Struthio camelus: one gene and its partners. The protein of the gene in region 1 purifies or fractionates together with the protein of each later gene. This does not show direct contact. Links are inferred from orthologs where the notes say so. Each region holds a gene or a part of one and is shown in the gene's direction. Other genes may lie near its edges.

Region 1 (7,404 bases):
CTGGCATCACTTCTGAGAGCAAAGTCCCTAGGGAAGCCAGAAGAAAACTTGTGACTGTGAAAATACTTCCTGAAGGATGTTTTCTGAGAGGTACCTAAAAGCTGAGCCGATAGAACGGGTAGGATTAGCAAAAACAGTTCCCGCTGGATGCAGCCATGAGGTCGGTAACTGCCCCCACAGCTGGTTGCCTGTGGAAATCACGGGGAAGGAACCTGCCTTCCTTTCAGGGGCCGCAGGCCTGCTGGGAATGTCTCAGGCTCTCTTGCAGGTCTCAGGGTAACTGCCTGTAACAACCCCCAGCTTGCTGCCGCAAGGGAGGCTGGGTTTAGTCAGGGCATTATGTCTTCTCTGACTTGATCCTCTCCTGAATAGGAGGTATAGTGATCCAGCTATCGTCGAATGTTTTATGTTTCATGCTAAAATGGAGAAAAGAACTACAAATATATGAGATTTACTGGGCCTTGAAGGCTGGGGCTGACTTGGAGGGAAGGTGGTAAAAGGGTAACAAAGCAGTCACCTGTTTAAAATACCCTGTTTTCAGTAGTTTCAACAGCTGTGCTTCCTTTGGATTTTTGTGCATGTCTTTTCCTTCCCCTTTAGGCAAGTGTTTAGTTCAGTTGTAAGTCTTTCTTGATTGCAAATAGCCTGAAAATACTGAATAAAGCTGTGGCAGGAGCAGGATTGAAGGGGTTGGCCTGGGTAGCGAGTTCTGCGTATTCAAAGTTCAGCTAGTGAGAAATAACCATCTGGCGGACACGTACGTCTCTGCTCTCGGATAAGCTGAGGAGGAATTGCCTAATGGGAGCCAGTGCTCTGCCTGACAGCGAGTAGTTACCAGGGTAAAGAGAATTACATAAGAGAGAGAGCTGTAATTATCTATCACTAGCTAGATGTAATCTTTGCACCTGGGCTGAGACAATTCTGCTGCAGTACAATGCTGTGTGCTAGCATGAAACAATTTGGCATTTGTCTTTTTGCTTAACTGAAGGACAGTTTTGCTTAACCGAATCCCCCAGATATTGCATGCTACTGTGAAATGTTTCAATGCTTTCCTTCTAATTATAGCTTTTTGTATCATTTGCTCACTTGTGAACAGGGTGAATCAGAACAGAAACGTCAGGGAGGTTTGAGGATAGAAACCTTACTAACAGTGAGCACCAAGAGAGAAGAAATAGGGCATTTTATAAGGCTGTATGGTGCAGCATGCTCTCATTTAATAGGAGATAGCTACAATTTGAAGCTGGTTTGTTCTGAAAAAATCCTAAATTCACCAATCCTTTACAAAAAGGAAGGGAACAACCAAGCCATCTGCCTACCTGGCTGCCAGCTAGGCTGACACCTTAGTGGCACAAAGGGTTCCCACGTCAGGCAGCCTGGCTGGTGGTGCAGCTGCTGGCTGGCACAGACCTGGTGGACAAGCTGATGAGGAACCAGCTGGATTTCTGATCTGGGTTCTGGGGCTATTTCTGTGAAATTTTATTTCTCATGTATGATGTTCTGAAAATCTGTGAGTTCTGATTTAAAAAAAAAAAAAAAAAAAAAAAAGATTTACTATCTAAATTTTTCTGAGCTGTTCCAGAGCCAGGAACAAGCTCTTTTTACTCTAGCGGAACTGGAAGGAAAGAAAAGAGATCTGAGGCCTATGAGAGTTGGGGATAGTGGGGAAAAAAGAGTGGGCATTAGAGGAACAAGGATTGAAGATGTCAGAAGAGCGGGGAAAAAAGCAAAGCTGAAAGATATATATGTGCAAGTTATATTTTTACATGTGAATAAGGGTGCATAGTTTTGCTACAGGTTTACTCTGTCACAAAGGGCAATTGCATTTCTTACATGCCCAGTTAGTAAAGGCAAATAATGTCCAAGGCATGAGTGAATTCATCTCTGCAAAAAAGAGCTCCTAAAATAAAATACGAATCTGCCAAACTAATATGAATGTTCCAAATTCATTACTAGGGAGTTAAAATTTGTCCTTAAGCAGGTGGAATGAAACTAAAATTTTGGGTGGAATATATGAAACTAGTACTTGCATACAGTTTCTGCTGCCTGTCATAAACATAGAATTATCTTTCTGCTATTAAAAAAAGAATAAAGATGATCAAATACCAGATCTATTGAGAACTGAACTATCAGTTCACATAGATTTTGATTTTCCTCCAAACTGTAAGCCTGAGAGCTATTACTGGATAACATATATGTGTAAATATCGATGTTCTAAACTGTTGAAAGGTCATTCCTGTTGTATTCTGTTGTTTAAACTCTAGAAGAAATGGCAAATTCCTTCAAAGTAAACCCAGCAGAAGATGCTAACGGTTTTTGACATAAAGCCAAAGAGATGGTTTGAGGAATAGTATTGTCAATAGCTACAGCTCGTAAAGTTAAAGTCTTGTGATTTGGAGATAATTTCAAAAGCGAATTCTGGATGTAACAGCTCCAATAACTATTTGCAAACTCCGTTTTACCATTTATGTTTCCCTTCATATGCTATATAGATACTATATGTTACAACAGATACCTATTTCATTACCTGGCATGTTTCTATTCTGCAAAACTACTATGCAGATATGGAAATCATTTGCTTCTAAAATTCTTTCAGTATCTTTTTTTTAGTTGGTCGTAATTTTTCTTTCCTTTGCAACAAAGTGGTCTTTGAAGCGATATGAGTCTAGCACCATTAAACCTCTTTCCTGCGTTGTAAACTTATATTACACCCTCCTAATGTGTTGCAGTGCACTGTATTTTGTTTAAAATATGTTTCAATGAACATCAAATGACTTCCTGACAGATTTAGGAAATATTCTAGATGAACTTGAAGTGATATTTTCTCCAAGATTATGCATTCCTTTTATTTTCATCTCTTGTTTTATTAAGTCTAATCTATAACAGTTATTTGTGGTAATTTCCCATTGTTAAACAGTTGTAGTGGCGTTTAGGATTTACCACTTCACTTATTGCTCGCCTAGATGACCGTTTTTCCATCATCTTGCCTAGATGATAAGAACAAGGGACACGTTTTCTGATTTTTTTTCCTAATCATGAAGATGGCATGATTGTTTATGATAAGGAATATTCTTTTTACATTCTTACATGTGGGTGTGTGAAAGAAGATGCAGTTGTCCCAATATTTGCTGCAGCTGAATATATTTAACTGTTGGTGCGTTTCTGAAAATGCAGGCTGTGGGGCCCGAGTGGTTCAGTGGCGACAGGAAGAGAATTTAGTAAATAACCTCTCTGAGAAAGACAAATCGCATTCACAATTTAATTAGTTTTCTGCAAACATCAGGGGAAAAAAATGAGGGGAGGGGGGAGGTAAACGGGCACAAATTTCTCTTGCAGTCGCCGTTAAGTGTTTAATGTGACTCGTCCCGACTCCAGGGCCGGCTGGACGTCGGCTGGGCAGGGGGGTTCTGCCAGCGTCTCCCCAGAGCCGCGGCTCGGCCGCAGCACAGCAGGGGCCTTTTTCTCTGCGCTGGACGAGCGAGCGGGGACGGATCCCCTGTCTTTGAGCGGGAAGCGGAGAAAGGGCAGCGCGGACGGGCCGAGGGCTGAGTTTAGGCTGCGGGTCGCCCTTTCCCCTGGAGGGAGGGATGGGTCTTGCTGGCCAGAGTTAATGCTTATATATAGCGTTTACCCCGCTGAAGCGGGAAGGGGTACAACAAGCATGCTGAGGTGATGGTTGATTTGTTGGAGGCCCTCGACGAGGTGGTTCGTTTGGCGGTAACTGAAAGAATTGGTCGGGGTCGGGTGAAGTTTGGGGTAGGTGCAGCCTGGGCCCCGGTACTTTTGAGAGGCTGCTCGTGGTGAGGGACTGTTCCCCTGGGAAACTCAGTGTCCACCTATCGCCCTTTCAGACTAAACAATCTCACTACGGCTTTTAACGCGACCCCTCCGCTCCCCGCAGGAGCGGCGTCGGCCACGGCCGACCGGCGCCGTCCACCTGCGCCCCGCCACGGAGGGAAATTTGTGGAGGGGGGAAAAGGCAGGTGCTGGGATGAAGCTACAGCCCGGAGGGATGGACGACAGCATCACCAGGCCCTTGGGGCGAGCACGGCTGAGGGGGGCTGAGGAGAGCGGGGGTCTGAGGGGAGCCGGGGGCTGATGGCGGCCCCGCGGGGGGGGGGGGGGGGAGGGGGGGCGGTGCTCGCGCGCGGGGCGGGGCGGGGCTTCCCGCGGCGCCCGGCGAGGGGCGGGGCGAGGCGCAGCGCCCTCACAATAAGGCGCCCCCGCGGCGAGGATGACATCAGCCGTTCTTCCCAAAGAGGCGCGCGCTCATTGGCGGAGGGGACGGCGGCGGCTCCGCCAATGAGCGCGGGGCAGGGCGGCAGGCTGGGGTGACGTACGGTCTCTTTGCCGTATGGGGGTTTATTTTGCTTTGGGCAGCTTCAGTCGCCGCCATTAGAGGAGGCCGGGGAGCGGGGCGAGCGGTTCCCCCCCCCCCCTCCCCCGGCCTCGCCGAGTGGGCGCGCCCGCGGCCGCGCCAGCCCGCCGCGCTGGGAGAGACCATGTCCTGAGCGGGGAGAGGACGCCGCAGCCAGCGGGCCGGGGGTGGCGCGGGGCGCGGGCTGCTTCCAGCGCCGAGCGTGTGCCTGAGGGACGGCTCCCGGCGGCGGCGGCGGCGGCGGCGGCGGCGCGGCCAGGTAAAGCCACTCTCCCCTACGGCGCGTACCGGGGAACGGCCGGCGGCCCCGCGGCTGCCGCTGCGCCGTCGCCGTAAGCGGGGCGGGCTGCGCGGCGGGAGAGGGGGGCGGCGGTGGCGGCGGCCCTGAGCCGGGGACAACCTGCCGGTTGTCCTAAAGAGGCGCCTGAAGAGCTGCGTTAAAGCAGCGCCAGCCTCAGTACAAAGGCAGGAAACTCTTGTGACTCTGATTTATTTATTTATTTATTTTCTCTCTCTCTCCCCCAACCCCCCCTTTGCGATTGCTTCTCCGCGCTGCGGTACCTTGATTACCGGAGTGAGATCATACCTCTGTTGCCTGCTACTTCTTCCGCCTGTGGTGGTGGGTTTTTTTTTTGGGGGGGGGGGGAAGAGTTGATTTTCCTTAGTGTGTGTGTGTGTGTGTGTGTGTGTGTATATATATATATATATACATATATATGTTTTTGGACATGTGTCTGCCTCGATCTGTATACCGTAGTAGACTAGATGCTGTGAACTACTGGATTGCGTTTGGCGTATCTTGGACGACAGTTTCCACGATACTGTTTGTCATGCGATATCGCGTATTGATCAGGAATGAAGTACGGCATAGGAAGGATTCCCGGTTCGAGCTTGTTTTTTTATGAACTGTATTTTTAAAAAAGAAAATCAAGTCGATAAAAGAAAATAAGGTAAGCCTCGCTAGTCCGTTCTCCCAGCGTCTTTACCCTGCTCCGCTTTCGTGCTCCCACGCTGCAGCAACTTCCTGTCGGGACGAGGTAAACTTCTCCGAGGAGGTCACGGAGGTGCCTGTGCGGAGCCGGAGCAGCGCCTTCTGCGTGGCGAGGGGTGCTCTTTCCACCCCTCAGCCTGGACTGCACGCGCTGCTGCCTCTCCGGAGTAGTCGCTGCCCTCTCCGGAGCAGAGGGGCTGGGTGAATGATGGGAAAAATTAATCTGGGTCTCCTGCTTGGCAGATGCAGCACAGCTGCTAGGGCCTTTTTACCAGCACGGGTGCCTTTTAGTGATAACAGTGAAGAAAACTTTTCCTAAAATTCGTAGGAATGGGTATTGTAAACAAAACTTTTTGACAGGCTGCATTTGGACGGTCTCTGCTGTTTTGTTATCTAACGCATTGCAAGCAGTGAAACTGGCATATGATTTAACAGGTTGATCTGTTTGTTGATGCAGAAATTGAAAGGTGAGATGTAGCGTGTGCAATACCTTCCCTTCCTGTTGATTTCCCTAATGCATACTGCTATAAAGCTTGTTCTGTTAGTATGTAGGCAGAACCTTGTAACAGTGGTTCAGGAGGGATTTGTCACACTTAATTTTGCTCTTCCTTCTGCAAATCTAATATTTTGCCTTCCGTGACTGCAGAAGAGGTTTGTGAAGCCTGGTTTTGGTTTTTGTTTTTGTTTTTTTCAGTTGTTGCCCAAAGCAGGGATACAGGTGAGCCGCAGGCAGTGTTCTGGAACTCTTTTTTATTTGTCTGCTTCCTCAGGCCAGGCTGAATTGGTGTCTTTTAGCATGCAGAGTCTCGCATTTCATATGTAAAAGATGACTTTGATTTAACTCTGTCACAGCAGTAACAGGAAATCATCTTTTGGATCAGTTGTGTTTTGTAGGATTTGTGAAATTTAAATTATGTGGTGTAATTCTCTTGAAGAGAAAAAAAGGTTTATTACCTTAACTTTTCTCCTGACTTTTAAATAAGGACAGGGAGAGGGGGATGACTATTCAAACTGTAGTCTGTTATTGTATTGTATTGTCTCACTTAGCATTTTCTCAGAAGTAGTTAGAAATATTAATTTAATTTGAACACTGAGTGGTGTAAAAGCATCAATGGTATTCATCACAGAAGCATAGCTTAAATTGCAGACTAGTTAAAACACAAAATTGGTCAGGGTGACGTTTTCAGTCTTGCGTATGGCCGTTCTAGTCTTGCATTATTCAGGATGTAAATTCCTTTGGTGGGGGGGGGGGGGGGAGAAATCCCATCCCTCTTTGGAGCTCACTGCAAGACAGTGAGGTCTGCAAATACATTAGAAGTTTAAGTAGAAAGTACATTGAAGTATTGATTATATGAGAAGTTATTTTTAATGCAGTCAAATAATCAGATAGGCATTCAGGCACTGTAATGTGGAATTTACTAGCTCCTTAAGGCGATGTTACCTTAGGTGTTAGCTTTCTCTTTCCAACTTCTCTTTGCCGTATCAGTTTTGCACTGAGTTGAGATTCTGCAGAACTTCAGAGCAGTACATTCTTCCTGTTGTGACATTATATTAGTGACAGTAAAGCGTTTAAGCTGCTGGTACAGATTTCTTGTGTTGACCAGTTCTGTTGGTAGTCTCACGTCCCCTTGTCCCCCCTCCCCAAATTTTTTAAAGAATTTGTTATTTTGAGCTATTCAAAATGTATGTCAACAAGTAATCCCCACTTTAACTGAATTAATTACAATTCACAGTCTCCTGTTGCTAAAATGCAACTAAACTTTAGTTTGGCAGCTGAAAATGGCAGACCTAGCTGTAATAAGAGTTCTTGATTTAAATTTTTCTCAGCGGTACAGATGAAGAAGGAAAAAAGGAAAATTGAAATGAGAATACCTTTTTTTCCTTTCGATGTTTGCTTAAACAGCCGACGAAGAGCTTACTGCTTTACTTGTCAAAAGTCATAGTGTGATCAAGCCAAGTTAAAGAGCAGTGGTTATAACTTTGTAATGTCAGTTGGATGGGATTTGTTATACCTTAACTAAAAGATAAAAGTTTTGTT
Region 2 (7,539 bases), on another chromosome or scaffold:
AGCAGCGCTGTGAGGAGGGAAAAGGAGCGTCAGGGAGGGGAGGGGCAGGGCCCGGACCCCCCCCCTCGTTAGCGACCCCCCCTCGTTAGCGACCCCCTCCTTGTTAGGGGCCCGCAGGTGCCTCAGAGGCAGCAGCGCTCCCAGCTGAGGCTTCGCGGCGTTGGGACACGAATGGCCACGGCGACGGGAGGGGAAGGGTGTTGTTGCCACAGCAACCCCATCCCTAGCAACACCGTACCAAGCGATAGCAATGCTCGAGCCCTTTAAGTGTACGTGTGTACACAGCCAAACACATGCACGTACCTGTATGTCTCTCTATGAGTGTGCACCCCATACGACTGTGCGCGTGCCTGTATACCTCCGTGTACCACTGTACACACCTATACACCCATGCAAACGCTTGTACACCTCCATGTACCAGTGTACATAGCTATATACCCATACGAACGCTTGTATACCTCCACATTACCAGTGCATACAGCTATATGACCCTGCGCACGCCTGTACGTCTCCCCGTACCACTGTACACCCCTATACACCCATGCGCATGCCTGTATCTCTCATGTACCAGCGTACACCCCTACACCCCTGTGTGCACGCTTGTATACCTCCATGTGCTGGTGTACACCCCTATACACCTGTGCGCACAGCTCTATACCTCCATGTGCCAGTGTACACCCCTATACACCTGTGTGCATGCCTGTACCCCTCCACGTGCCAGTGTACACAGCCCTACGACCGTGCGCCCACCTGTATATCTCCACGTACTGGCTGGTGTATACCCCTATACGCCTGTGTGCATGCCTGTAGACCTCCCTGTACCAGTATAGACAGCTATATGGTTGCATGCACACCTGTCTACCTCCGTGTGCCGGTGTACAGCCCTATACAGCCGCGTACGCACCTGTATACCTCCACGTGCAGGTGTACTCACCAATACACCCGCACCTGCATCGCTCCACGTACCGCTGGACACATCCATCGGCCCAGGCGCGCCTGTATTCCTCCGCGTGCCGCTGTACACACCTGTCTACACGTGCGCACACCCTTTTACCCCCCCGCTCCTCCGTGACCCTGCACACCCCTATAGACCCCCGTACAGCCCCGCCACCCCGTACCTCCCTATAGCCCCCACACCGCCCCGTGCCCTGGTGATCACCAAATCCCCCCCGTGTCTCTCTTCCCCCATAGCCCCCTATACCTCCCCATACCTCCTATAGCACCCCCCTACCACCCGTACCCCTCATAGCTCCCTATAGCCCCTCATACCACCTATAGCCCCCATAGCCCCCTATAGCTCCCCATACCCCTAGAGCCCCCCCATAGCCCCCACACCACCCCATACCCCGGTGACCACCATACCCTGCCGCGTCCCCGAACCCTCCATACCCCCTATAGCCCCCCCATAGCCCCTGCACCGTCCCGTACCCCGGTGACTGCCATACCCTGCCGCGTCCCCCGTGCCCCCCCGTACCCCCTATAGCCCCTATAGCCCCCCCATAGCCCCTGCACTGCCCCGTACCCCAGTGACCGCCATACCCCGCTGTGTCCCCCGCGCCCCCCGTACCCCCCTATAGCCCCTATGGCCCCCCGTACCCGCTATACCCCCCTATAGCCCCCCATACCCCCCTATAGCCCCCTATACCCTCCCTGTGGCCCCCACAGCCCCCCCACCACCCTGTACCCTGGTGACCACCATACCTCACTGCGTCCCCTGCGCCCCCCCGTACCCCCTGTACCCCCCCTATACCCCCCTGTGGCCCCCCTATACCCCCCTGTGGCCCCTGTAGTCCCCCCATAGCTTCCGCACCACCCCGTACCCCAGTGACCGCCATACCCTGCCGCTTCCCCCACGGCCCCCGTACCCCCTATAGCCCCCCGTACCCCCTATAGCCCCCTATACCCCCCCTGTGCCCCTATAACCCCCCCATAGCCCCCGCACCACCCCATACCCCAGTGACTGCCATACCCCGCCACATCCCCTGTGCCCCCCTGTACCCCCTATATCCCCCTATAGTCCCCTGTACCCCCTATGTCCCCCTATACCCCCCGTGGCCCCTATAGCCCCCCATAGCCCCCGCACCGCCCCGTACCCCGGTGACCGCCATACCCTGCTGTGCCCCCCCCGTACCCCCTATATCCCCCTATACCCCCCCGTACCCCCTATATCCCCCCATACCCCCCCGTACCCCCTATATCCCCCATACCCCCCAGTGGCTCCCACAGCCCCCCCATAGCCCCCACACCGCCCCGTACCCCGGTGACCGCCATACCCCGCCGCGCCCCCCCGTACTCCCTATATCCCCCATACCCCCCGTACCCCCTATACCCCCACACCCCCCCGTGGCTCCTATAGCCCCCATACCCCCCCGTGGCCCCTATAGCCCCCCATAGCCCCCGCACTGCCCCGTACCCCGGTGATTGCCATACCCCGCCGCGCCCCCCCGTACCCCCTATACCCCCCTATACCCCCCGTACCCCCTATATCCCCCATATCCCCTATACCCCCTATAGCCCCCATACCCCCCCGTGGCCCCTATAGCCCCCCATAGCCCCCGCACTGCCCCGTACCCCGGTGACCGCCATACCCCGCCGCGCCCCCCCGTACCCCCTATATCCCCCTATACCCCCCGTACCCCCTATACCCCCATACCCCCCCGTGGCCCCTATAGCCCCCCATAGCCCCCGCACCGCCCCGTACCCCGGTGACCGCCATACCCCGCCGCGCCCCCCCGTACCCCCTATACCCCCCATACCCCCCGTACCCCCTATACCCCCCCATACCCCCCGTACCCCCTATACCCCCCGTACCCCCTATACCCCCCATACCCCCCCATACCCCCCCATAGCCCCCCATAGCCCCCGCACCGCCCGTACCACGGGGCGCCGTTGCCCCGGCAACCGGCCCTCAACCACCCCCCCCCCGCGCCAGCCGCCGCCGCCTCCCCCCTCCCCTCCCCTCCCCGCGCGCGCCTCTCGACGTCACTTCCGGCGGCGGCTCCCTTTGTGGCAGGAAGCGGCGGCGGGCGGCCCCGGGCAGCGGCTCCCTTTGTGGCAGCGGGCGGGAGCCATGATGGAGGCCGAGCGGGCGGCGGCGCGGGCCCAGCCGCCCCCCCCCGAGCCGCCGCCGCCCCCCCCCGCCGCCGCCGCCGCCGAGCTGAGCCTGCCCGGCATCCTGCACTTCATCCAGCACGAGTGGGCCCGCTTCGAGGCCGAGAAGAGCCGCTGGGAGGCCGAGCGGGCCGAGCTGCAGGTAGCGGCGCCGGTACCGGGGGAGCTGGGGGGGGGGCGGGGGTACCGGAGCCGCCGCTGCTGCTGCCGCCGCCGCCATCTTGGGAGGAAATGGCCGCCCGGAGCCATGCCGGGGGCGGGACCGGCAGCCGGCACCGGGATGGGGGGGGGACCGGGCACCGGGGGGAACCGGGACCGGGAACCGGCACCGGGGGGGAACTGGGGGTGGGGAACCGGGACCGGGGGGAACCGGGCACCGGGGGGAACCGGAACCGGGGGGGAATTGGGGGTGGGGAACCGGTACCGGGGGGGAACTGGGGGTGGGGAACCGGGCACCGGGGGGAACCGGGCACCGGGGGGAACCGGAACCGGGGGGGAACTGGGGCTGGGGAACCGGGACCGGGCACCCAGGAGGAACCGGCACCGGGGGGGAACTGGGGGTGGGGAACCGGGACCGGGGGGGAACTGGGGGTGGGGAACCGGGACCGGGGGGAACCGGGCACCGGGGGGAACCGGAACCGGGGGGAACTGGGGGTGGGGAACCGGGACCGGGCACCGGGGGGGAACCAGGCACCGGGGGGAACGGGAACCGGGACCGGGGGAGAACCGGGACTGGGGGGGAACTGGGGGTGGGGAACCGGGACCGGGCACCGGGGGGGGAACCGGGACCGGGGGGGAATTGGGGGTGGGGAACCGGGACCGGGCACCGGGGGGGAACCGGTACCGGGGGAGAACTGGGGGTGGGGAACCGGGACCGGGCACCCAGGGGGAACCGGTACTGGGAGGGAACCGGTACTGGGGGTGGAGAACCGGGACCGAGGGGGAACCGGGCCCCGTGGAAGAACCGGGACCGGGAACCGGAACGGAGGAGGAACCGGGAACCGGGCACCGGGGGGCAACCGGGAGGGAACCAGTACCAGGACGGAACTGGGGGTGGGGAACCGGGACCGGGGCGGAACTGGGCACCGGGGCAGGGGGAGAACTGGGACCAGGAACCGGAGGGGGGGGAGGGAACTGGGAATCGGCACCAGGAGGGAACCAGTTGGGGGGGGGAACTGGAAGGGGGGGGGGAACCAGCACCGGGGGGGGGGAGCGGACCAGGGGGCACCGGGAGCCGGTACTGGGTGGGTTGGGGGTGAACCAGGAACCGACACCGGTGGGGAGGGGGCACTGGGAACCGGCTGTGTGGCTGCGGGGGGGGGGGCATGTTACTGGGAGGCCCCAGGGTCTGGGGGGGACCCGCTGCCTTTGTGTGCCGGTATTGGGGACCCCCCTGCCCCGGTAATGGGGTACAGGGTGCCCCCCCCCACTCCGATAACAGGCACCATGGTAACGGAGACCCCACCCCCACCCCGGTAACGGGGTCCCCTGCTATCAGGGCCCCCCCCCCCAATATTGGAGGTAGCTGCCCCATGCCGGAGCACCGGCTGTTCCCCTGCGCCCCGATGGTGCTCCCGGTACCGTCGGCACCGTTCCCGGTGCCAGCACTCTCGGTACCATCGGCATCGCTCTGGTACCGGCAGTCCTGGTACCATCGCTACCAGTGCCGTTAGCATCACTCCGATGCTGGTGTTCCTGGTACCGCCGTTCCCGGTACCATCGGCATCGCTCCGGTACCATTGGCACTATTCCTGGTACCACCGCTGCCAGTGCCGTTGGCATCGCTCCGATGCTGGCGTTCCCGATACCGCCGTTCGCAGTACCATTGGCGTCGCTCTGGTACCATCGGAACTATTCGTGGTACCACCACTGCCAGTGCTGTTGGCATCGCTCCGATGCTGGCGCTCCCGGTACCATCGGCATTGCTCTGGTGTCGGCAGTCCTGGTACCACCAGTACCGTTTCTGGTACCGTCGTTCCCGGTACCATCGGCATTGCTCCGGTGCCAGCAGTCCTGGCACCATCGGCACAGTTCCCGGTGCCATCGCTCTGGTGCCAGCACTCCTGGTACCATCAGCATTGCTGTTGGTGTCAGCATTCCTGGTACCATCGCTGCTGGTACCATCGGCGTTATTCTGATGCTGGCATTCCCGGTACCATCGCTCTTGGTACCATCGGCGTCACTGGTGCCAGCAGTCCTGGTACCATCGGCACCGTTCCTGGTGCCGTCACTCTCGGTACCATCAGCATCGCTCTGATGCTGGTGCCTGCAGTACCATCGGCATCGCTCCGGTGTCAGCAGTCCTGGTACCATCGGCACCATTCCTGGTACCATCGCTCCCAGTGCCCACCATTCCTGGTACCATCGCTCCCAGTGCCATCAGCATCCCTCTGATGCCGGCGCTCCCGGTACCATCGGCATTGCTCTGGTGCCAGCAGTCCTGGTACCATCGGCACCGTTCCTGGTACCATCGCTCCTGGTGCCATCGGCATCGCTCTGATGCTGGCGCTTAAGGTACCATCGGCATCACTCCGGTGCCAGCAGTCCTGGTACCATCACTCCCGGTACCATCGGCATCACTCCGGTGCCAGCAGTCCTGGTACCATCACTCCCGGTACCATCGGCATCACTCCGGTGCCAGCAGTCCTGATACCGTCGGCGCCGTTCCTGGTACCACCGCTGCCCACGCCACCGGCATCGCTCCCAGTACCACCGGCAGCGCTCCGGGTACCGCCGGCAGCGCTGCAACCTTCGCGGCGGCCGCCTCCTCTCCGCTCCTCCTTCCCGCAGCCCGACGCCTCCGGCAGCTCCCTCTTTTTCCCGTCTTTTTTGTTTTTCCCGGGAACGCGGGGTCGGGGGGGGGGACGACCAGCGCCGCACCACCGGCGCCGCACCACCGGCCCCGCTCAGCGCGGCCTCGCCTCCCGCCAGGCGCAGGTGGCCTTTCTGCAGGGCGAGCGCAAAGGCCAGGAAAACCTCAAGACGGACCTGGTGCGGCGGATAAAAATGCTGGAATACGCCCTGAAGCAGGAAAGGTAGGAGAGGGCGGCGCGGAGGCGGCTCCGGCGCAGCCTCGGCCCGAAGGGGAAGACGCGGAAAATCCCGGTTGTGCCGCACGCGTGTGTTTTATTTTTTCTTTTTAACCCCCTCCCTTTTTTCCTTAAATCCCCCCAGGTCTAAATATCACAAGCTGAAATTCGGCACCGACCTCAACCCGGGCGAGAAGAGGCCGGAGGCGGCGGAGCCGGGTGAGGGAGCCGGCGGAGCCTCGTCCCCCCCCCCCCCCCCCCCACTTCTCCGGCGCGCTGACCCCCCCCGTCGCCCTCCCCTCGCTCCGTCCTCTTCTTTCCCAGCCGCCAACGGCCCGGCGGAAGCGGCGGCGCCGGACGGCAGCCCCTCGGCCTGGAAGGAAGGACGGCAGCTCCTGCGGCAGTGAGTGCCGGGAAATCGGGGGGGTGATATTTGAGGGGGGGGGGGCTTGCCCCGGGCTGTCCCGAGCTGCCCGTTCTCAGCTCCGCCGCCGCAGGTACCTGGAGGAGGTGGGTTACACCGACACCGTCCTGGACATGCGCTCCAAGCGCGTGCGCTCCCTGCTCGGCCGCTGCTCCGCGGGCGTCAGCGGAGCCGCCGACGGCTCCGAGCCGGCGCTCCGCGGCGGAGACTCGCCGCTCGTCAGGCGCATCGAGGAGCAGATTCAGAGGTGAGGGGGGGGCTCCGGCACGGCACAGCCCGCTCTGGCTCGGGGGGGGGGCTCCGGCTCAACCCGGCTCGGAGAGGGGGGCTCTGGCACAGCCCGCTCCGGCTCGGAGAAGGGGGCTCCGGCTCGGAGAGGGGGGCTCCGGCTCGGAGAAGGGGGGGCTCAGTGCAACTTGCTCCAGCTCGGAGAGGGGGGGTCTGGCTCAGCCCGCTCTGGCTCGGAGAGGGGGGGCTCCAGCTCAGCCCGCTCCGGCTCAGAGAGGGGGGGTCTGGCTCAGCCCGCTCCGGCTCAGAGAGGGGGGGCTCGGGCTCGGTGTGTCCCGCTCCGGCTCGGAGAGGGGGGGCTCCAGCTCGGCCCGCTCCAGCTCAGAGAGGGGGGGTCTGGCTCAGCCCGCTCCGGCTCAGAGAGGGGGGGCTCGGGCTCAGTGTGTCCCGCTCCGGCTCGGAGAGGGGGGGCTCCAGCTCGGCCCGCTCCCGCTCAGAGAGGGGGGGTCTGGCTCAGCCCGCTCCGGCTCAGAGAGGGGGGGCTCGGGCTCGGTGTGTCCCGCTCCGGCTCGGAGAAGGGGGGGCTCCAGCTCGGCCCACTCCGGCTCGGAGAAGGGGGGGCTTAGTGCAACTTGCTCCAGCTCGGAGAGGGGGGGTCTGGCTCAGCCCGCTCTGGCTCGGAGGGGGGGGGCTCCAGCTCAACCTGGCTCGAAGGGGGGGGGCGGGGCTCCAGGTCGGCCCGCTCTG
Region 3 (7,743 bases), on another chromosome or scaffold:
GCCTGGAAGTGCTGATGCCTGTAAAAGGAGATTAGTCATCATGCCTGCTCATGAAAACTGGCTCTGAGAATTCTTGATTCCTGCACCTTTATTTCTTCAGTTAACTTTCACTTGTGGATCTACTTCACATTCCTTTCTGGTACCCAGACTTCAGGAGAAGATGAGTGAGAGTGAGAAATGATAGGAGGTTTCTTTCTTCTGAACATTTTCAAATATTTTTGGTCTGAAAATGTTAACTCTTCTATACCTTTCAGGAATTTAAAATGCTGTACCGCCTTTTTTGTCTTGACAGCAAATGTGGATAGCTCCTCTTCTTCCCATAGTGAAACAGAAAGAAAACAATCAAGAATCCAACTATTCCAGACTTGAAATATATTGATAGCTTAATAGAAGCTTATAGCTTTCAAGGCCAAGAAGATCAGTGTGTGATCTCTTCTTTCGCATAACACAGACTATAGGACTCCTCCAAATTAAACGCTGTTTTAAATCCAAAGACAGTACCCATTTTCAGGCTCTGGATTCTATTTTGGGCTCAGATTTCTAGAAGTTAGGCATAGCAAACTGTCAAGTTTTAGGTGTGTAAGAGTCCAGCTGGATCTAGCTTCCCTCTCCATGTGTTAAACTGAAGTCTCATTCAGAATCCTCCTGCTCAAGGTAAACTTCCTGAATTGTCACTTGTAATTTTTAGACATTTCTAGAATGTTATAGTATTGGCAGAAAGAGATTTTGTGTCATTCAAGGTAAAGCCACATTGATAGCAGTTTTCTCTTTCTATAAAGATGCTTAAGGATCTTGCTTAAAGATGCTAAAGATCTTTGGTCTTTAGTATGATGGGAGATTTGCTCCCATAGATTAGACACTACCTAATACTTCATTTTATGCTTTAAATATTAAAATACAATTCATAAACATTAACATAACTTGTTTGGGAGATGTCAGTAATGCTGACACACAAAATACCATTTTTAATAGAGTGTCTTCCCTTCTTTTTGTCCACTTGTGCTTTTCTAATCAGATTATAACCAGTTTTCAGCATTCAAATCATGTGAATCACATCACTGAGTTATAGTCATACTCAGCACTGTTGAATTTATGCTCACAAATCAATAATTCCAATACTTGTTATTTATTATCTATGCTCCTTGTGCATAGTCAGTTAAAGCATCTCTTCTATTGATGCCCACTGGAGAGTCCATTTTGCTCTCAACAGTATAATTTTATATCTCCTTTTCACCTTCCCTTTCGATGTTCCTTTAACATCCTCAGAAACAACAAACATGCCTTGTGGAATATTGATCCTCTTTCTATTGAATTTCACCCAGACCGTATAGTGCCATCTTCCAAAAAAAGTAACCCCTTCTTCACAAAACCCAAGCTAATGTTTCACTGTCAGAATCTTCTGTATTGCTTACAAATCTCTAACACCAAATTTCCTTGATGGGGTAATCTGGATTATGCTGTATAAATTTGATTGATTAGCCCTAGATGAGGGTGATGATAGAAGAAATGCCTTCAGTTAGCACTGGGGTGACCTTTGAAAAGATTGTAGTGATATAATGATTGCTTAGTTTTTTCAGATACCTCATTTTCCATAAAAATTTACCTTTTGGCTTCAATGTCTCCTACTTGCTTTACACTCAGACACAGGTTTATCTTTAGAAAACAGTGAATAAAATACCATTTCGATATTTTTTGTTTTATAAGAATAGTTAGTAACAACATGGCAAGGCCTCGATATACTGTATGATTTAGATGCAAAGCAATTTGCTTCCCTGCCAGTGTAAAGCCAAGCCATACATTTTCTATCACAGCAGTTGCGTGCTAATGGAGGGAGTGAGCACACTGCTCGGTACAGCAGCTGCATCCTGTAACATGTGGACATTCCACCTTTGCGTGCCAGTTCTCTAATCATAGGAAAGAAACATATTTAAAGCTCAGCTGAAGGGCCTACTCCTAGGCTTGGCCGTTCCTTTCTGTCACTCAATCCCAGTAAAACTGGGAGTAGCAGAGAAAGAGTTAGTTATTTTCAGTTTGCCAGCTACCAGCTACTACTAAAATAGGGAACACCTTCCTCTGAGAAAAGCACCTCCTTTGCTTCAATGTAGTCATAAAATAGAAGAAAATAGTCTGTCAAAGCACAGGCAATTTCTCCTGCCAGCAAGGCTCTGTGTTAGAGCTTGGCCATGTGTTAGAGACATTTTACTGTGCATGCAGCCATAGCAATGACAGTGCATTATGGGAACAGTCACCAAGTTGGGCTGACCATCTCTCCAAACTCATATATTATATGCGTAGATGCTACATTTTTGAGAGTGTAAAGCCAGTCCTGAAAGAGAGGATGCAGTAGCATAAACAGAGCAGCCAGAGAATAAGTAACACATTGTTAACAATCAAGGGGAGAATATTTCTTACGTTAGAGATGGTCCTGGGCCTGAAGGAGTTCTTCATGCAGCAGAACGTCAGACTTTTGCACCCAGCCGCCATCACGGACAATGTGGTAATGACTGCTACCCAGCATGAGAATCTGCTCACAGCAGTGATTAGTAATATCTAATGTGGATTTCAGTGCTCTCAAGCCACCAGTAAGCCTTGTTGCTGTCATTAGGGGGGAAAAGTTAAGAATTACAAACACGCAGTAGAGGCTCATACAATAACAAAAATCAATAATATTTTCAAAATGGTGTGATGATTAATTTAGCAGCATAAAGAAGAAATCTAGATCATTCCTCCTTCAAAAGCAAGCCTCTGATCTTTTCTGCCACAACAGCAAGTCAAACTACTTCCAACGCTTGGATGATATGCTGGATGTTAGTTGTATGGGGGCGGGCTTTTAGCTGAAGTCTTCCTGGTCCATCCATCCTATTAATTTTTGCTGGCTGAGATCTGAGACTTACTCCCCCTTCCCTCTCAGAAATAATTTCTAAATTTATCTTCAAATGAGGAAAGAGAGATCAATTCTCAAGCCTGAGATGGTAAGCTATGACTAATCTAATATTCATTATTATTATTTTGATAAATGTTCACTTGGTAATTGATAAAATATCAGCTAAACCTCAGAGTTTATGGTCTCAGCAGAGCAAGAGATAAATAGTGCAGCCTTTGCTTCATCACTCATGTGATGCAGACGGACTTAAAAAATAGCACTTACACAGGATGTTATGTGAATGCTTTGTACTAGCTCAGTTAGAAAGGCAGTCTAGTTACTGTGATGGTCAGCAGATGATTCTAACAAAAGTTAAATACCAGGGAAATACTGCAAATGATAAATGTAGATAGGAATTAATAAGTGAAAAGATATTCTCAAACCATTTCAAAACACTATAGTGTTTAAAACCCATTTGGAGGGGAGTAAGTATGAGAAAGTGCATAGGAGATAAGTGACTTTTCCTTAAGTTTCTTAATGACATGCTCCTAGAACTTCATGCCATCAATAAAGTAAGCAAGCATAAATTTATATTAAAAAACAATTACACGGTATTTGAGTTTGGGGAACTGAGAAAAATAAGCCAGTTTAGGCTCTGTGCCATCAATGGTGTTTCTCAACTTCAGCAGTGGAAGGGATGTTAGCAAACAGTATAGTTAAAAAAGTGTAAAACTTGAGTAGGAAGAGAGTTAGGTGGTTTTCATGCCGGAAAAAAAAACAACGCATCTATTTGTTTGGAGTTTATCTGCACTGTAACGGATCCTATGTACTGAATTCTGCTCACTCTGTTCAGTGAACATTTCCATTATAGCTGAAGTTCATTCTATCAGTTTATCATTGGTTTGTCTTATGGGTATGTAAAGGGGAAAGTTCATGCATGTTTTTACTTAACAGCCTTAGGTACAGCATGCTTGGAGGACCATTAGCTGTCTTTAATGAAGGGAAGATGCTGGTCCCTTTCTGTCTGCACCAAGTATAGACCAAGAATTGAGTATAGACCAAGACCTGAAGCAGCCCTAGTACACATGGAGACAAGCAAGGCTCAGTGGGAAAAGTTGTATGACTGTAGAATAAATAATGTCCTGGATTCTGTTTAGAATGGATTTGAGTTGGTCCTAGAGGAAGGTACATTCAGTTTTGTTTTTGGTATATGGCTAGCTAGGTGGGGTCCCAGAGTGGGAGAAAAGCAGTGAGGCAAGTCCTCGGGAAACACCCCTTCCAGCTGCTGGGGGACGTGCGGTTCAGCCTAGGTGGGTAGCAAGTGAAAACCTTTCTGGGGAGGAGTTCAAGCAAGCTTTGAGGCAGGTACTGGTCTAGAAAGACAAAGGGCACTGCCAGGCCCGGGTGCGCTCTTGTCTGGCACAGGAAGGTTTTAACTTGGCCCCAGAGTGCTAGGCCTGGATTAAGGTCCAGCGTAACACAGGCTCTGAAGCCTGCCTCGCTGGAAAATACAGGACTAAGCAAGGTCTGTCAGCCGAAATGTGCTCCCCCCGCCCCTCCACGGGAGGTCTGAGGAGAGGTGCTCTTTCCAGTGAACTCCCTCAGTCAGCACCACCAGAAAGAAAAGGGTATCGGTAAAGAGGTCCCCTTCCCCAATACACTTCAGCTGCTTTAAGGATCTAACTGGGCAGGTGAGCCAAGCCCATTGCAAAAGCTCTTTTTTTTGTTTTCCTCCCTTCCCATTCCTTTCTTTTCATTCCGCTACTCCCCAGGCGCAGGGGCGGGAAGGGCGGGAGAGGCGCGGAGCGGAGCGGGGCGCGGCGCTGCGCGGGGCCTGGGCACTCCCCTCCGCCGCCGCCGCCGCCACCGCCGCCGCGGCGGGGTCCCGCTGCCCCTCCTCCGCCTGCCGCGGGGCCGGCTGGTGGCGGCTGGGGGGTGGCGGCGAGAAGGAGGGGAAACCCGAGCGCCTCTGGATCGCCGTCGCCCAACTCCGCGCGTCGCTCGCCTCGGCCGGCAGACGGGGCAGGCTGGGCTTCGGCAGCTCTCGCTGTGAGGCGCGGCGCCGGAGGGGTTAAGCGCCCCGCTCCCGGTGGGCTTGGTGCCGGCGGGGAGGGGGTTAAGCGCCTGGCGGCGGCGGCGGCGGCGGCTGCCACTCGGCTCCGCTCCGCGCTCCGCGCCGGAGCCGTTACAGCGGGAAGATGGCGACGGAAGGCGCGAGCGGCCAGCCGGGCTCTGGCGGCCAGGAGGACTCGGCGGCCACGGCAGCGGTAACCGGCTCTTGCGGGCCTGGGGGCTTAGACCCAGCCGGGGCGAGGAGGGTTCCTGTGCGGATGGGACGAAGCAGCGCTTGGAGACCTGCCTCCCCCGCTCCCTCCCTCCGCCCTCCTTCTCCCCCGGGGCGGGACGGGGCTCGGCTGCGGCGGACCCGCCGCAGCCGAGCCCCGTCCCGCCCCGGGGGGGGGGGGGAGAGGAGAAGAGAGAGGGGCGCGGGATGCCTGTCCGCGGGCGCGGAGCGGCGGCGGTGCGGTGCTCTGCTTGCCGCCAGCTGCCCCCCTTCTCCCCGAGCCCCCTACGGGCTCCCCCCATTGTTCCTTCCCGCTGCCCCGGCGCGGGGTCGGCGTGCGGCGGCGAGGAGCGCGGCGCCCGCCAGGGGCACGGAGGAGGCGGCGGGGAAGGGCGCTGGCCGGGCAGGGTGACGGGGCGTCGGGGGGCGGGGTGGGGGGGGAAGGCGAGAGGGCGAGGCGCCCGCGGGGCTGCTCCGTCCGCTGCCATCTCGCCTTGCCCTCCCCCCACCCCCCCGCCTTGCGCCGCTTGCCACAGCGAGGGGGGCTGCGCCCCTTCTCCCCGGGCGGGCTGAGGCGGTGACAGCGCCCGGGGCGGTGGGAGCTGTCAGCCCGCGGCGGGGGAAACGGCTGAGCTTAATGCTCGCCGGGCGGCCGATCCCGCAGCAGCGAGCTTTCCTTTTCGCTCCCTTCTCCCCGTGTCTGTCTTATTGCTCTCCTTGGTCGTTCCCAGAGCCGTGGCAGCGCCCCTTCGCTGTCCGCCCGGTGTGTGGACATGGGCACGGCGTGGCTGTGGGGGCCCGGCGGCCCTCACCCCGTCAGGGCTCTGCCTTAGGGGCAGAGCTGGCTCCCTGCTTAGAAAGTCCCAGCACCCGAGCAGAAAACCCACGTTATGTCTTTCTCCGCAGGTGCTGAGACACCTTGAGGGAAGACAGACACAATGTGGTGCCCGTCCGTGTAAACTCTTTGAGCGGAGCCTTTTGCTCCGCTGCGTAAATTGGCAAGCGATAAGGCTTCTTTCTGCTGCTCCTCAGGTAATCGAGCTGCAGGAGAGCAGAAGTTAGCCTGCTCAGGTGTCCACTCGTTTAGTTCATCCTGGCTTCTCACCTGTCCAGTGACCCCGAACAGGGTAGAGCGGTTGCAGCGCCATCTCCCCCCCATGCTCTTCTGTACCCACAGAGGAGCATCCCAGATCTGCTGTAGTCACATCTGTGGCATTTGCTTGTGGATTGTCTGGTGTTAATCAGCTTGTGTTAATAGTCCAGTTGACAGTTATCGTTGAGAACTGGATGGCGAAGTCCACTGTCAGGCTGTATTCTCAAGGGTTGTAGATGCTTTTCATTGTAACGAAACACATTGTTTAGGATAATAAAATAATCAAGTCCAATTATTTGTGAAGGTAATGACCCAAGAAGGGAGGATGGTACTAGTATCTGTGAAATTGAGGATATTGTTAATATTTGCTTTATTTTCTTTCAAACAGGCACTAGTTCTTCTCTGAAACCATGTTCTAACTGTATACTTAATCATCTTTGTGCTTTAAATTCCAGACTGTTGTCCTAAAAATTGAGTTTTACTTTAAAGAAAAAAAGGAATCCTTACACGATGAATATTTATAACATCACTGTCTTTAAAAACAACGACTTAACTGTGATATAACTGAATATTAAGGTGAAAATTCATAAAAGCAAAATATTAAATACTTGGAAGATGAATTTTGAGCAACAATTCATTTATAATGTAATTTCTTTAGTATACTCATCTTAAGTTTTAGTTTTAAGAACTCAAAACAATAGCTCAGAAACAAGTAATTATCTAATGTTGCACTTTTAGGCAATGCAGTGTAAGCCACCTATGCAATTTGATGATCTCATTGTCTAAGGTAGGAGCGATAGCTCTACACTGCACACTGTTTTTAGAAATACTTTCTAGTATCCCTTTAGTTTTTAAAAATAACCTCTGTGTTCCTCTATAACTTAAGTAATAGCTGTACTTAAGCAATGACAATATTTTTAAAAAGCTGACTTTTATTTTTAATTTGCCTTCAATCCTTAAATATTTAATATTCCTTGTCATCTTTTTTTCCCTGCTGGTATAAACTTTAGATTTTTTGTTTCCTTTTATTTCTTGTATGGGAGAGTAAAAAGAACTCTTCTATGCAATTAAAAGGTTTTAAAAAATATTTATACAATACTCTAGCGTGCCTTTTGAAGGGTTATTTTGAATAGCTTATTTTCTGTCTCAAACTCAATACAAAATTAGGAATTGAATCCTCTTACTTGCTGTCAGGATTACAGTAAGCATCTAGGTGACTATTTTGTAAGTAATGCTAAACTTAAGTTTATAATGAAATATTTTATTTTCAATACACTTTTACTTTTTTTTTTTTTAATTCTCAGAACCCTGAATGCACAAACAGTGCAGAGAAAAACTGTAGGAACGATAATTTGTCATAGTAATATATTATTGTGTGAAATACTGTGGTGTAAGTAGGAGGAATATAACACAGTAGGATTTCCTCATACTAAATGCTGTTCTGATTACGTCTGTAAGTAGCATTACTGCACAATAAGGCTTTTTTTGCTACTGTTAGAAACA
Region 4 (7,692 bases), on another chromosome or scaffold:
GAAGAGGGGAGTCTTTTGTTGAGCTCATGCTCGTAATGATTCTATTAAAAAAAAAAACTGCAGTTCCTCTTTCGACATTTTAGTTTTATTTTGTGGCTGCTAATCGGAAAAATGTTCCAGGCTGGTATTTCTGAAAAATCAAAGCTTCCATTCAGCCACTTGGTGGTATTCAGAGACTTCCGAGTATAGCGTCACCCGCTTTTCTGCACCGTGCCTTTGAGAGGGCTGTTTCTGTGTGCGTGGAGAGCGGTGAGTGAAGCGTAGTAGAAGCTCTCTGACACAGGAGGGAGCTGCAGTCCCACAAACAAGAAAGATGTTCTAAAATTCACTCCTTTTTTAAGTTATCGTAATTCAGACAGCCGGATGCTGTTCGGCCTGGCCACAGGGCAAGCAATCAACTAAAATTAGCTGGAGTGATCTGGGACTGCAAATATCCACCAGATACCCACTGCTGTCCTGATTCACACCTACAGGCATTAGCTTCATTTTTTTAAAGTTTTGGAAACATTGGACTTCAGAAGCTATTGACTTCTTATCCCAACCATCTGCACTTTTGCATTGGCTTTAAGTTCATTTCAAAATACATGTTAATTCCAGTGACTTGCAAGTATGAATCACCAGGCTGACACTAACCATTAGATATAATTCTCATAGTCTTTCCCCTTTTTTTCTGAAGCATGGCTTTTTCCAGTGAGATGACTTGCTGTGCCAGTTCATAGCCCAGACCTCCCTGGCAGGCTGCGCGTCCTCACTCACAGGATGTGGTGAGCTGTCAACTTTTCTGTCCAACTTCCTTCATGTACATGACAGAAGGACATCTGCCCTAAAAAACATATTCTAAGGGTAAAGAGAGAGACAACAGGTGAAAAGCACAGAGCCAGGAGAAGCACAGGGTGAGAGAAAGTGGATTGTGATTAGGGAAAACCTAGAGGTTTTAATGTAATAGCTGCCTGGCAATAGGCACGATGATATGCGCGTCCTAGCAAAGTTAGAGAAGGTAACCCATCGGCTTTCTTTACTCCAGGCTCTGAGACTGCTAGAGCAGGGGCATGGCGAAAATTCCAGTATTTATCAAGGTTGGGAAAAAAATCCATAGTACTCAGACAACTCCGTCTAGACAAAATCATATTGTTCTGAACATACTAGACAGGAGACTGTGACAGTTAGAGGTTTTATTGCTAGCCATGTCACTGTATAAAGTCCTGCTACCACGTGACACCTTTTTTTTTTTTTTTGCACGATTCAGAATTTTCTGTTTTAGAAACTGCTAGTTTCTTAGAAAATGCCAGCGTCACACAGCGCAAGCCCTGTGCTGCAGGCATAGCACCCCCCTGAAGTCAAACTCTAAGCGGCAGGAATGGCCGTTAAATACTGTTGTCAGTTCTGGGGCGCCTGCAGAAAGGGGCACACTACCAATCCCGAGCACTTCTCGTAGGAAGTTCAGGGACCGAGCGATTTGGCGCGTTCTCCACCAGAAGGGCCAGCTCTGATTTCGGCTGCCGCGCCGCTGAGCAGCTTCGGCAGCCAAAACCTGCTTCCCTCAACAGCGTCACGCGGCAGTGACCCCGCTCTGGCCAGGCAACCGCGGGCTGCGGCTGTTCAAGCAACAGTTGCTGATACCTGCTGGCTTCTTTCCTCGTTCGATAGGTAAAGAGGTGAAAATACACTGGGCTGCCCAGCGCGCGTCCGCGGATTACCTGGCTCGGCCGACGGTGTCAGGGCACGCGAGGTCGGCGCTGGCGGAGGAGCTGAGAGAGGCAGGCAACGCGCTCCAGCCCACGGTCGCGCCGGGTGGGTCACAAATATATATGAGCACCTTCAGGCAAACCGCCGGCCTAGAAAGTCAGGGAAACTTCATGTTTTATTGAAACTAAGGCTTTATGTCAGCTTCCTCGTAAGCGGCCGTGCCCTCCTTTCCGGACGCTTCCGTGGCGCTGGGAAGAGGTGCTTCCCTCGGGATTTCAGAGGCAGCGGAGGTGACCGGAGAGGAACAGAGACACCCGCCTCCCTTCCTGCCCCCGCGCTAAGCTCCTCCGTGGCCGGGCGCCCGCTCGGCCCGCGTCGCGCTGAGGGGCGACCGGACTCGTCGGGGCTGCACAGCCGACCTGCGGCGCTTCTCGCCCGCCCACGGGCGCAGGCTGCGGCCAGCAGGGCCCGGCCCCGGGCACAGGCCCGGCAGCCCCCCCGCGCTGGGAGAGCTCCGTTTTCCCCGGGACAGCGGCTATTCACAGGGCGCGGCGCAGGGGGAACGCGGGCGCTGGGGGTCGGGGGGCCGGGGGGACACGGCCCGCGGGGGGACACGGCCCGCGGGGGGACACGGACCGCGGGGGGGGGGGGGGCAGGGCCGCCGAGGGTCCCGCCCGCCGCCCCGCGGAGCCCAAGGCCCGGCTCGCAGACCAGGCCCGGGCCGGCTCCATGGAAACGGGCCGGGGGCGGCACCGGGCCGCACCCGCGGCCCCACCCGGCCCCGCCCGCGCCGGAAGTGACGCGCCAATCACGGCGCCGCGCTCCCTCCGCCGCCGCCGCGAACAAAAGGGATTTGCAGCCCCCGCCCCGCTCCCGCCTCGCCCCGCCCCCGCCGCCTGATTGGCTGCCCAACCCGCCGCCGCCACCGCCCGCCGGCCCACGCCCTGGCCCCGCCCACCCCCGCGGCGGATTGGGCGACGGGCGAGGCCGGCGGCGGCGCTGATTGGCGGCTGCGCCGTCCTTCAAAAGGCGGGCGCCAAGGGGCGGGCCCGGCTGGATGGGCGCGGAGCGGCGCGGAGCGGCGGCGGCGGCGGAGGAGCCAGAGCCAGGTCGGTGGCGGCGGCGGGGCCGCTCGGGGGCGGGGGGGCGGCAGCGGCTTGGCCCGGCGGGGCCGCGTCCGTGTCCGCCTCCTCGGCGCGGCCGGGCCGGGCCGGCGCCGCCCCCTCGGGCGGGCCGCGGCAGGTGCGCGGGGCCCGGCGGGGCCGGGCCAGGCCGGGCCGAGGGTTGCGGAGCCGCCGGCCGGCCGGTTTGGGGTGAAACTCGAGGCTTTCGGCGCTGTCGCGCCGCCTCGGGGTGAGCGTCGGCCGCCGCCGCTTTCGGGGGCGCCCCCGGCCCCTCCCTGCTCCGGGCTCGTTTCTGCCCTGGGCCCGGCGGGCGGGCAGCGTCCCGCCCCCGGGGTTCGGGCTTTGGCAAGGCTTTGGGTGCGGGCTTTAGACACCCGCCCCGTCTAAAGCAGCGCTTGGATAAATACTTGAACGCGGCGGGTTTGGGGGAGTTTCCTTTCTTCGTGCTCGTCGTTGTGAGACGCAGAGATGGGGGGGGGGGGGTTCAAACGCTGCTCGTCTGAACCTAAAACCTCTACGGTTTTGATACGGTGCCAGGCAGTGTTGTGAACGCACGGTTGCAAGGTGTGTTTTAGCTCTTTATTGTATAAATGCGTTGGGTGTAGTTATTTTAGCAGCTTGTTTGAGCATTGCACACAACGCCTGCAGCAGATCTCTGAAGTTCTGCGCTGGGAGGTTTTCAGGTTGGGCTCTCGGAGGAACGCGGTCGCCTGAAGGTATCTGCTGGACGACATCGGCTGCCCTGCAGGGAGACAACGTATGGAGCTGGTTCAGGGTTATAGAGACAGAAGCGTTGTTGAAGCTGCACAGTGGTAGGCAGGGCACGTGAAGGGAAAGGAGATACCCTCCTTCAGAGGCAAAATAGCCAGTTATGCTCTACACAATGAGGCAAGGAAGTGGAAGAGATTTGGGCCAAGCGCCTGCAGATATCTTGAAGCTTCGATGCGACGAGCGCTCCTGTTTGTGCCTCCTGAGCTGAGCGTTTAGGCTCCTCTGTTTAGCGCTCGCCATGTAGTAACCCAAACCTTCGCCGAAGTCCGTGGGTCGAGCGCTCTCGTTGTGCTGGCAGAGCTGGTTAACTTGGTTTGTGTGTTTGCGTGCGTGAGTCCCAGCAGCATGCCATCTCTGATGGTTTCATAATCATCACAGCACGATTCAGGGCACTGAGGAAGCGTCGTAGTCCAGAAGCTTATCACTTTTTTTTTTCCTGTTCTTGAAGTGGCGCATGCCAAAGATAGCTTACCCTGGTGTGTTTGCTTGTATGGTTGTACTATGCTTAAACTACTCTTGATATTTATTAAATACTTGGAAATAACTTTATAAAGTTTCATCCTTTTCATGGGTGAATATGGGTCTGTTGAGGAGAAAAACTCTTTTAACAGTTAGTAGCGCAGATAAAAGGAAGTTTACCTTTAGGCAAGCAGTAAGTAATTATCTTTGTTTATGCTCTAAACGCTTGTTTGTTGTCCAAAAATGGTGGTATATCTCAGACTCAGGGAAAATATTTATACCATCAGACTAAATAATGACGGCCTTGTGGTTTGTGATCTGTGCATGATTGGACCAGTTAGGATATTTCACTGAATGTGAACTGGTAGTATGCCTTGGATGTTTCCAAGTCTTGTTTACAAGCTGTGAAACTGTATCTCTTGTTTAGAGGTTCTTAAATAATGGGCTGTTTTCCCCAGCTGACAAGTGCAGATCTGCTTGGCAGAGTGGGACTGTTTGCAAGGGGAAGAACTGGCTGGATGAACGTGGTTGGAGTGATATTAAAGAGAAATGGGAAGGGAGAAGGAGTAGGGGCACCTGATGGGAAAGAAATCTTGGAACCTGTGATGTTTAAAGGCATGGAAGGGATTTGGGTTTGGGTAGGGAAGGAGGAACTTATAGGTATGTGGTTATTGGCTCTCTGATTTGGAGTTGCTTGTTGTTCTTGCAGAAATTATAATCTAGAATGAACAGAGCTGCCTTTTTCCTACATTTGTCAGTTCTCTAGTATGGAGTGGCTGTAGAAGTGAGTGCTTGATGGTTACAGATCCGCTATAATGGGTACAGCTTTCCTGTAGCAGGAGGTTGCACGCAATGTGACTGAGGCTTTACCACTTACTACTAGTGTTTTAAGGTGGGGCTTATTTGTTATGAAGCTGATTTGGGCTCATACACCTAGAAATGTGTCTGAAATGGCTTATTCCTTTAGCACCAAGGAGGCAGAAGTCACAATGTAGTTTAGAATATAAAATCGAAATGGTTACTGCCTAAACTAATTGCTTTAAAATATTGAACTGCTGTAGGTAGCTGTCCCTGCTTTAAGAGTGTGCCTTTTGGTAGCTAATGGGGTGATGTAGCTGCAGGGTTCCATGTTGTCTTCATTTGAAGAAGTGCAGACTTTGTTCGTCTTCAAAATTTACTTGTACAAGTGTATACTTAGCTTATATACTTTAAGAAGTCAAAGAAAAATTCTCATTTTATTTCTAGCTTATAACACTGCAAAACTAGTAACTTAATGATTATCTGGCAAAAAAAAAAGAATTTTGCTACTTCCCAGAAATACTGATTCAGTCTTAGCTTCTGTGAATGTAGTCTGAGCAAGACCTGAACTAGTGTTTGAAATTAAGCCATGCATCTCCCAGGCAGGTGTTCGGATGGTCCAGATATTTTAAATATGTCCAGGAAAGTAATGCAGCTCTTGACTGTAAGTACCAACTTAAGCATGCTAAATGTTAAAAGCTAAAAATAGGCCTGCTCTTTTCTCACTCTGTATGTTTGTTTATGTGTGTATGTATATATATATATATATATACAAGTGCATATATATATAAACAAATATAAAAACACTTGTTTCTTCTATTATGGTGTCTTCCTTTATCTGTAAGATGGATAAGCTGTAAATCACTCCTGTGCTGTAGAAAATGAGATCTTAGCTAGCAGGCTTTTCGGGGGGTGACAGACCTGTTGACAGAAATATCCACAGACGAGGGAGGCTGTGTTCTGGGTCCTCAGCACCTGTCTGTAAGGCTGTTCCCGTGGATTTAAAACTGTGGCTGTTACTGCTGAACAGTGACCAACGCTGCAGTGTCCCACTGAAAAGCGATTTGAATCGGTACAGTGAGTTTAAGTTAGACTCTTGTGTTAGTTCTTGACCAGGCTTTTTTTTAAATCTTGGCAAATGCTTATGGATTTACCAAGCAGTTTATAGTCACGCATTTTCCTCTCAAACGTAAGTTAATGGCTCTGCAGGAGAGAGCATACACGTGGCGCTGGCACATCTGTGTTGTCCTGTTATACTGGTTTTCAAGCGACTACAGTATCTCAAACAATCATGATTGTTTTCTGTTAAGTTCCATTTAATGGTCCGTGCCAATGATGAGGCTATCCAGAAAAATCAGTAAGAAACACTGCTGCTTCATGGAGCCTCCGGTAAAAACCTGCATGGAGCAGGGGCACGACTGCGCGATGGGGGACTTCTCCAGTTAGCGTGGGGGTGCAAAATGGACTTCAAATTTCTCTTGCTGTGCGAAGGCTACTTATTTTTTTCTGCAAGCAGAACTTTCTGTTCCCAGCAACTGGAAAACTGCTTTGGCATAAACAAGACAGAACATGCATTTGTGCCTAATTCTCCAGAGGCACAGTTATGCAAATCGGTTGTAAAGTGGTAGTGACTTCAGAAAATTTGGAATTCAGTTGAATGTTTTAGCTGGATACGTTTCTTTAGTAAAAGTTAATTTAACCATTTATCTTCTGTTGGTAAAGTGGAGTTTAGTATTACTGAATGGCTTGTTCATCCTGTAGTATTTTAATTGACATTAATAGCAGCAAAAGATGGATGTGAATTGGACTAAGGAAAGGCATATTTGATTATTGTCTTGTGAGGCACAAGACTCTCATAATGGGGTATATTTGCATTGGAGGCTTGGACTTCCTAAAAATCGATGAAATGATTGCCTTTGTTAATAAAATAAAAAAATAATGTAATACAGAGGCTTATCACTAGGTCATATTAAGTGTATCAGTGAAATAAGACAAATTAACAAGCTTTCTGTATGCAAATGTCAAATGAAGGTTCTTCATTCTGAGGTGGACAGTAAAATTATATTTCACAAATGATGGTGATATTGAATCAGATTGAAAGAATAGTAATTAAACGTGTGGGGTTTTGGCATTGATTTTTTTTTTTGTAAAATGGTTTGGGCCTGTTCCATAAGTAATGCATAATGACGTTCCTAAAAAGCATTTTGTAGTGCTGAAATGTTAACTTAACCATTACATTTGTGGAAGATGGCCCAGTTTAGACTGCATTAATCATTGTTCTTCAGTAGTGGTTTTAAAACTTGAACATGTATGCCTGAACTGAGCACGTGAATAAGTTCAGTGTGGTGTTTGCAGCTGCGTGATCCAGATGTGTAATCCAAATTAGTATGGCTTTTAAATATCCATATTTTTTCCTCTCCTGTTAACTTTGGCTACTTCTCGGTGAATATTGTACTGTCATTTTAGCCCTTACTTTCTGGTTGCACCATTCATGACCCCTTGGGAAAAGGTGGAGAATGAATCTTCTGCAGTTTGTCTTGGAGGTTAAAGAGAAAATGTTTGCATGGTGTGTTCTGCCCTTCCCTTCAGGACAAGCTGCAGTGTGAAGCTGAAGTTAAAACAGAGATTATATGTTGTAACTTAGTATATGGATTCCAATACACAGATAAATACTCAGTAAACGATTTTCTATTTTTCAGATTTTCAGGATGAATCTGGAAAAACTCAGCAAACCAGAACTACTGACGCTGTTTAGCATTCTTGAGGGAGAATTAGAAGCAAGAGATCTTGTCATAGAAGCCTTAAAGGTATGTCATACCACGATAGAAACAAAAATGGCAACAGTATTACTACA

Evidence for each region.
Region 2: the proteins of ZRANB1 (region 1) and STRN4 purify together in Homo sapiens (affinity purification with mass spectrometry; 4 studies listed by BioGRID and IntAct, with this or other methods). This does not show direct contact. The link is inferred for Struthio camelus from reciprocal best matches to the Homo sapiens genes ZRANB1 and STRN4.
Region 3: the proteins of ZRANB1 (region 1) and CTTNBP2 purify together in Homo sapiens (affinity purification with mass spectrometry; 3 studies listed by BioGRID and IntAct, with this or other methods). This does not show direct contact. The link is inferred for Struthio camelus from reciprocal best matches to the Homo sapiens genes ZRANB1 and CTTNBP2.
Region 4: the proteins of ZRANB1 (region 1) and CTTNBP2NL purify together in Homo sapiens (affinity purification with mass spectrometry; 4 studies listed by BioGRID and IntAct, with this or other methods). This does not show direct contact. The link is inferred for Struthio camelus from reciprocal best matches to the Homo sapiens genes ZRANB1 and CTTNBP2NL.

Annotation. Positions count from the first base shown.
Region 1 is NC_090948.1:4,424,986-4,432,389, reverse strand, and holds the start of ZRANB1 (ubiquitin thioesterase ZRANB1), read left to right. Parts: upstream 1-4,393; 5' UTR 4,394-4,634; intron 4,635-7,404. UniProt on the Homo sapiens protein: Ubiquitin thioesterase, which specifically hydrolyzes 'Lys-29'-linked and 'Lys-33'-linked diubiquitin. Also cleaves 'Lys-63'-linked chains, but with 40-fold less efficiency compared to 'Lys-29'-linked ones.
Region 2 is NC_090957.1:1,875,627-1,883,165, reverse strand, and holds the start of STRN4 (striatin-4), read left to right. Parts: upstream 1-4,534; 5' UTR 4,535-5,610; coding exon 5,611-6,146; intron 6,147-6,285; coding exon 6,286-6,359; intron 6,360-6,464; coding exon 6,465-6,543; intron 6,544-6,637; coding exon 6,638-6,811; intron 6,812-7,539. UniProt on the Homo sapiens protein: Calmodulin-binding scaffolding protein which is the center of the striatin-interacting phosphatase and kinase (STRIPAK) complexes.
Region 3 is NC_090942.1:28,493,236-28,500,978, forward strand, and holds the start of CTTNBP2 (cortactin-binding protein 2), read left to right. Parts: upstream 1-4,731; 5' UTR 4,732-5,061; coding exon 5,062-5,130; intron 5,131-7,743. UniProt on the Homo sapiens protein: Regulates the dendritic spine distribution of CTTN/cortactin in hippocampal neurons, and thus controls dendritic spinogenesis and dendritic spine maintenance.
Region 4 is NC_090965.1:9,366,285-9,373,976, forward strand, and holds the start of CTTNBP2NL (CTTNBP2 N-terminal-like protein), read left to right. Parts: upstream 1-4,689; 5' UTR 4,690-5,427; coding exon 5,428-5,502; intron 5,503-7,537; coding exon 7,538-7,645; intron 7,646-7,692. UniProt on the Homo sapiens protein: Regulates lamellipodial actin dynamics in a CTTN-dependent manner. Associates with core striatin-interacting phosphatase and kinase (STRIPAK) complex to form CTTNBP2NL-STRIPAK complexes.